Linked DNA regions of Bombyx mori. The protein of the gene in region 2 binds, or shares a complex with, the protein of the main gene of each other region. Links are inferred from orthologs where the notes say so. Each region holds a gene or a part of one and is shown on either strand. Other genes may lie near its edges.

The links. Proteins that work in one complex are often made in the same cells at the same time.
Region 1: telomerase Cajal body protein 1 homolog (region 2) and probable H/ACA ribonucleoprotein complex subunit 1 share a complex: the UniProt entries of both Homo sapiens proteins name them as parts of the telomerase holoenzyme complex. The link is inferred for Bombyx mori from reciprocal best matches to the Homo sapiens genes WRAP53 and GAR1.

The regions. Positions count from the first base shown.
Region 1 is NC_085110.1:1,087,230-1,090,844, forward strand, and holds probable H/ACA ribonucleoprotein complex subunit 1, read right to left. Parts: upstream 2,138-3,615; 5' UTR 1,650-2,137; coding exon 951-1,649; 3' UTR 653-950; downstream 1-652. UniProt on the Homo sapiens protein: Required for ribosome biogenesis and telomere maintenance. Part of the H/ACA small nucleolar ribonucleoprotein (H/ACA snoRNP) complex, which catalyzes pseudouridylation of rRNA.
Region 2 is NC_085124.1:10,450,212-10,454,494, reverse strand, and holds the start of telomerase Cajal body protein 1 homolog, read right to left. Parts: upstream 2,919-4,283; 5' UTR 2,782-2,918; coding exon 2,345-2,781; intron 1,728-2,344; coding exon 1,539-1,727; intron 1,191-1,538; coding exon 1,030-1,190; intron 1-1,029. UniProt on the Homo sapiens protein: RNA chaperone that plays a key role in telomere maintenance and RNA localization to Cajal bodies. Specifically recognizes and binds the Cajal body box (CAB box) present in both small Cajal body RNAs (scaRNAs) and telomerase RNA template component (TERC).

The DNA.
Region 1 (3,615 bases), on a different chromosome or scaffold from region 2:
TACTTTTCCAGAGTAGATAATTCACATTGGTCAATGACCATAACTTATTATCATAAATATCCATAGCAGTGTTTATATGTGTTTAGGAAATTGTTACAATTATGAGTTGTTTGTGTAATAATGTTATTAAAATGGATAATATCTAATATTAAAACATTGTTACAATACAAGCAAAGTAGATTTGATCGAAATGTGTTTTGCTTTACAAACTTGCCACAAGCAACAGAATACCTTTGCATTAGTATCCTCCTCATACTGTGTCCAAATGAACAATAGAAAAAATTTATATATATAGCATGTTTTCTATTTCTTTGCAGGCCTGGCATTTTTTTAAATCTGGTAGCTCAGACAACAGTCAAAGAATTTTAATAACATTTTAAGTCATCACAACGGTATCAAAGCCGCTGCCTATTGTATAATATTGGAGTGTTTTGAGATATGAGCTGCCGAGCGAGCGATATTTTGCTTTCAGATACGAGCTATTTGACATCAAGCAAGCTTATGAAACAAACTTGTATCTCGAGGTACCACTGTATTTGGTGCAAATATTATGGAGCCTTGAACAAGCAGTTACCTGATCGTTATTTTGTTGAAATCAAAGTATTAAGAATAAGCACAAGGTGTGTTTTTTAAAAAGAAAATAAAAACCAGATTAAAATATTATTTTATATTAAACTTAACTTACATCTAGATAGTTTGTGTATGCAACAAGTTTAGCTTTAAATCTGCAAAATATGTTCAGTTTTGTTATTAAACAATTTATATTTTGGTTGTTTTTTATTATACATATTATTATATATTTAATGTATAAATGTAATAAAATGTATTAAATCTGGAATCCAACTTCTTTTCACGCACACTTTCAAGTTTTCTTCTTAAAAATACCAGACACCTGGCAAATATCCATACACAGAATTTTGGACACTGTAGGTCTGCTGCAGGTCCATGGGCTATCTTCTGCCTCCTCTGAATCCACCACCCCTGCCTCCGCCGCCTCTTCCGAAACCACCGCCGCCGCCTCTACCGAAGCCTCCACCGCCACCTCTACCGAAGCCACCGCCTCCTCCACGACCACCGCCTCCTCTGCCAAATCCACCGCCGCTGCCGCCGCCACCAAATCCACCTCCACCTCTGCCACCACGACCGCCTCGGCCTCCTCTACCACCTCCCGCGCCTCTCTTTGCCCCAGGCGGTTGTGGCAAAAATCTTTTCAAAGGTAGCAACTTCGCGGGATCAATGAAAAATTGCTGCCCTTCCTTGAAACTCTTGGCTTTGACATTTTCTCCTAATTTGACTGACACAAAGTAATCTCGTAGATTGCCAAATATCTCGTCAATTTTGCCGATTTGTTCTTTGTTTTCGAGGAATATAGGCGCGTTGAAATACGGCACGTCTTCAATGTCTACTTTGCAGACTAGATCGTCTTGAACGGTCCAACCATAATGTCCGAGCGGAATAACAGCCTCGGGCGGTCCAGCATCTTGGTAACGACCTCCGCCACCACCACCCCCTCGACCGCGGCCTCCGCCAAATCCACCACGGCCACCGCGCCCTCCGCCACCGCCTCGTCCTCCTCCGCCGCCATATCCACCACGGCCTCCAAATCCACCACGTCCTCCACCGCCGCCTCCTCTACCGCGGAACGACATGTTTTAATTAACAATTACCAAAGTTATTATTTATAACCTCAAACTATGCGTATTGTCGCAATTCACAACATGCACGAAGTTTTGACAAGTTTATGAATGAAGGCATAGATAAATGAGATAAAAGAAATTAAGGGATTTTATGACTCGGACCAAGACCTTTAGGTCAAGCCTTATTTTAATTTTTATTTTATTTCTATGAAAAATGATAATAGGTATGAAGTGAAATGAAATGAAATAAGATGAGGTGATATGGTATGAAATATAATCTCAGCAAAATGGTGGTCATTTACTGAGATTTTTTCAGTGGACTTTTTGGAAGATTCCGAGAAGTTACGTTGAGCGGCTTTGTTTGATTTTCCCACATTTGTGCACTTTCACAGATACTAAGCAGTTAATAAACCACCGCTGTTACACATTTAAACATGAAGAAACATTAAATAGACAAAATAAAACAAATCACACAACTTCACTCCTCGCGTTCCCGCCACAAAGTCAGATAAATTAGAATTTTACATACCTATTTGAGAATGAAGGTGCGGTCATAGATGATACACCTAACTACCGAATGACAAAGCGAAAGACATCCACGCTGTTATTTCTGTTACTAAGAACGGTGAGCACGGTAAACCTAGTGTTAGTGGTTACTGAAGCCCCTTGACATCGCAACGACAATACTGCCGCCCCTTTTGGGACATGAGGTCGCAGTCTCAATTATATAGTTACCTATATAGCTCACCTACACGTCTATCCTGCCCTTCAAACGTAGTATTATCTAGCTATTGATTCGTCCCTACCAATTGTAATTAAGCAAATTATAATTTTTGCGGTTTGGATCGTCTTTACCTGATGTTCTGCATAATTAAAACTACATACTTTTGCGGTTTTATCTCGTGGTTCGTAAATTCTTTTAAAAAAAAAACTATAAAATAATATTTTTTGTGTTATGAAATAGCAATTTAGCATATTATAAACTATGAAAATCGTCGAACTTTGGCCTTTACCGTACTAATACAACATTAAATTGTTCATTAACTAAATTATTGAACAAGGTGCGGAAATATCGCCTACTACCTCGTGTCAATAATAATAACTATAATTTCTGACAAGTGAACCAGCAATCACGTTTAGAGGTCCGAGGTGCTTCGCTTAATCTCAGAAGAGTGCCAGTAATTTCTTTTCTGAAACTAAATAAAACTGTCATCCCTCGAAATGATTACGCTGATAGGACTAGCCATTAAGTAAGAGCGTTACAAGGCATATAATTGTGAGATTATAGATACAGACAGATCAGTATTTTACGTGCAATGAGTGTTGACTAAAAATGAAGAAGTCATTGCTGCTTCATGTGGTATATTCATTGCTAGAAAGTAATTAATACGTTAACAATTTAAAAGCAGTCATAAGAATAGTTCTACTAATGAACGCTAATCTCTAAAATAGTGGGCTTTGATAGCACGTTGATACTAGGTGGGCTCGTCTACATTATCCAACAAAGAGCACAAACTATTCTTCGAATGTATTATCCGCAACTAAAACCGCAGGCAGCAGCTTGGTTGTGAGTGTTGTGGCCCTGGCATTGTTGAGCGACTACTTATGTCAGATGGATCCTTCTTCCCTGCGAACAATAGAAAAAAACCAAACACTCTGACCCGAGAAATCTACTTCAGCCGCAAGAAAACTAGAAAGACTTTTTGGCGATAGGGCGAGAAGCGAAATTGTGTGCATTGTTTTATTGTTCCTTCAGGTTTGAATGTGTATTAATGGTTAAAATATAACCATATATAACCATTATATTAAGTGTTTCGTATTTGTACAAGTGGGACGGACTTATCTTCTCAGGATCTTCCAAAAATTCCACTGATTTTACTGCGACTTTTAATTCATCCCATATAATCTCATTATATTTAAGTTCATATTAATTGATTAATATCTCAAATTAATTATCTTCATTTCATTGCAAAAGATT
Region 2 (4,283 bases):
GTCGAAGACCAGAAAAGATCGGTGCAGCCGCGTCCTGTTACAACTACAAAGGCTTAATGCTGTTAAAGCCAGAATCCGTCGAATTAGGCAGCAAAATATCTTATAGCGAGAAATGAAGATTCCCGATAGGACTCTGTCGCGTATTATAAAACAAGACCTGAAGCTCGCAGGATATACCCTAAATCAATCTTTATAATTAAAGTGATTGGATAAATGAAAATGCCTTTTGATGCGATATGCAGGTGAAAGGCACAGAAATATTCTCTTTACTGATGAAAAAAATTTCACTATTGAAGAACACTGCAATAAACAAAATGATAAAGTGTACACTCACAGTTCTAAAGAAGCTGCTGAAATGGTAGGAAAGGTACAAAGTGGTCATCATCCTGCATCAGTGATGGTTTGGTGGGGCGTGTCTTATCAAGGAATCACAAGCTATATTTTTGTGAAAAAGAAAGTGAAAACTTCAGTCAATGTGTATCATTGTCCATGTATCCATGTCTTGGATTATGCTGTAAAACCTCTCAGCAATACACTTTTTAAAAATATACTGTGGACTGGCCCGCATGTCTCTGCACCTGGTCACAAGGCAGGAACTACCCAAGCCTGGCTTGAAACCAATGTTCCAGACTTTGTAAGAGCTGAAGTCCAGCCTCACCGAGCCCAGACCTCAACCATTAGACTTGAAATTATGGTCAGTTTTAGAGAACATGGCCTGCTCTAAGCGATACAGCGACATTGAGTCTTAAAAAACCTTTGGAGCAAGCAGTGAAATTTCCCTTGGAAACAGTGCGCAAATTCATAGTTTCATGGCCAAACAGATTAAAGGCCTGTATAAAAGCCAAAGGTGGCCATTTCAAGTAGAATATTTTTCTTTATTTTTTGCTGACTTCATTTCTTTTTACTTCATTAAAAAAAAAACATTTTCATTTGAAACAGAACTTATGGCTGGATTAGGTATATATAGGTATTGGGTATATATATAACAATATGTAACAAACGTTACACCAATTATTCAGTGCTATTTACCTCCATGTCCATACATGTCCCCAATTTTCTTAGTACCAATTTCTGATTCATTATACAAAGTTATTGTTGTATTCCAAGAACCAACAGCAACTAAGTTATTTTGTGTTGAAATGCTAGATGCTGAACTAGAAATCTTTTGCTCAGTAAATTCTCTGCCAGGCCTAAAAAATTTACTGATTAATATACAAGCAAATAAAATAGACCTAGAACTCAGGCAGGATTGCAACAATTATGTTGTTGAAGTCTATGAGCTCTAGTAATCACTTAAAACCTAGTTGTATACCAATCAAAGAAATAAAAAAATTGTCTATCTTGAGCACATTACTAACTTAATGAGTATATTAAAAGATTTTACTTCCATACAACAAATTCTCTTTATATTAGTATAGATACGATAAAAGCTTCCTGCCTTGATATAAAGTAGTTATTAGCAAGTCTAAGCTTTGCTTAAATACCCACACTGAGCATGAAATTAAAGTTTTAAGATAAATTTGATAATGAAGAATTACCGCTCAACATCAAAAATTCTTAAATGCTTCTTATAGCCAGCAATGATTTTTCTACCATCTGAGGTAAAGCTAACTGATAAAGCTGGTTCCATTTCATCTACTGCATTGAATCCTCTGTATGAACATCTGAGTGATCCATCAAATGCATCCCACATTTGTATGGGAGAATTTTGTTTTGTTGTTAACCAGCTGTCAATAAAATTATTGAGTTACATGAAAGTTAGGCATTTCTTAAGAAATCTATTTCAGCTCCTTATTTTAAAGGAAGAGAAATTATGTTTACTGACAAACTAAAATTGATATTTTATCATAATCTCAGCCTGTCCACTGCTGAACATAGGCCTCTCCTACTGATGTCCACTATGTCATCAGCCCATCTGGTACACGGCACACTGCACTTGACAGTACGTGGTCTCCATTTAAGGATTTTTCTGCCCCATCGGCTGTCAATCTTCGTACTATATGGCATTCCCACTGCCGCTTCAGCTTGCTAATCCTAGGGCTATGTAACAAGTTTGGCTCTTCTATGGATCTCCTCATTTCTGATTCGATCTCATAAAGAAATACCAAACATAGCCCTCTCTATAGGTTGCTGTGTGACACTAAGCTTCTTAAAAAGTTCCCTTGTGAAACACCATATCTCAGAACCGTACGTCATCACTGGTAAAACACATTGGTTGTACACCTTTGTCATAAGGCACTGAGCATTTTTTTAATTTTTAGATTGGTTGATATTTAAGTAACGATATTTTATATTTACATCAATTCCATTGTAGACCAAATATTGAGTTTTAAATCTCACTCACCAACAGGAAGGGGGATTTGTGCTGTTCATGAATGGGTACCAACAGAAGTCGTAAACTGAACCTGTTTCTTTTAAATGTATCACTGATTCTAAGACATCGATTATACGATCGCCACAAACAACGCCCTGGTACAATTCACTAGGAAGCTCGGTAACATGAACACCATCGTTATTGACAACACTTAAGCAACAGGTTCCATCTGGGGACCACTTACATCCACGTAAATAAGGCTGTATATTCTCATTAGCATTACGACCCCTTGACCACGAGCAAGTGGACAATTCAAGAAAGCTTTTGCTTGTAAATAATGCTGGATATTGAAAAGCGTTTTCTGTACACGCCGAACCCAATGTAAGTTCACTCGGATTTTGAGTTATGGTTTGAGGTATATTTTCAGCGTTTATTCTTGATGGTGTCTCCATTGACCAATTTTCCATAATAAAGGTAGATCACAACACAATTTGTGATTATGTATAACAAATTGACAATTATTCCGCTCACGGTTTCAAAATAAAAACAAAATCGTCGTTCGTCAATCGACCTTACCGCCTTACTTTTTTTTAAGGGATTTTATGACCTGGTAACTAAGATCTTTAGGTCATGTCTTATATTAATTTATAATATTCTTATTTTTATGAAAAATGATAATTATATGGAGTGAAATGAAATGAAATGAGATGATATGGGATGAAATATAATCTCGAGATCGGGAATGATCAATCACAAGAACGGTCGTACATACATAACAACATAATTTTTTTTTGGGGCCGGGGGCTGAACCTCCCATGAGGTTCCCCCGCCTAGGGGGCACGCAGGGTATATGAGACTTGACGATCTGCAGATGTTGGAAGCAGACCGTAGGTCCAAAATTATTTAAGGACCCTACCGCACTAAACGACTCCCCTGCCCCTTATACGGTTGCTCTTCCACAGTATGTTCGACGACGACAGCGACGACGGCAATGCGGACCGCATCGCGGACCGCTTCCGAAGATGCGTCGTCACATGCCAGCACGCTACAGTGACAATAGCGTGTGGCGCAACCTCGACTACCTCAGGTCGCCCCGTGAACATCACCGGGAGGAGACTGCTTCTTCACAGGGGTTGGAGCTGGACGAACACCCTCCTCCAATTCCCGGCTCGGTGGCGGTGGCCCGGCGCCGAGAGGAAAGAAGAGCTCTCTCTCCCCGTTCCGCCGCCTCCTTCTGCATGATGGTGGACTCACAGAAGTCGAGCATCGCCTGCCAGGGCTCGTCGCTGCCGCACATAGTCCGGACCTATTTTTGCAACGAGGGTGCGGCGCTGCTTCGCGAAAGCGGGGCAGTATGCGAACGTGTGCTCCGCCGTGACACCACAACTATACATTAACCCACAGACACAACCCTTGAGTTTCTCACCGGATCTTATCAGTAGGTCGCGATTCTGATCCGGCAATAAATTCAATAAAGCACTACTCTTGCTACAGTAGATGTTAGCAAAGTCTCTCAGGCAGGTTAGCACGGAGATTTTATTATATGTTTTATGTATTTAAATTCAGATCTCACACAACTAAAGGCGCTGTGGCGTGGCTTGTTTTATTTTAAAATATCATCAAAATTCACTCAATGGTTGTACACGTCACGCTTCAATTAATTCAAAATAAATTAACTGAAATGCAGTCAAAAAAGTTACTTTGGAAAGTATATTATCTCGCAATTTTTATTATCTTCGTTCAAGGACGGTAGGTATAACCTTTATTCATTATTGATCAAATTAGTACATTGATGAAAGTGAAATATATTTTTATAAAGTATTTTCAGTGATTACTCGTACAGTAAACATATGAAAAATAGTTCTAATCTTTTGATAATATAAGTTTAAAAACTTTAAGAACATTTTTAAGTAATTAAAACTACTGTTAAGGTATAATCTCGCGGTTTTTATTGTCATCATCAAGATCG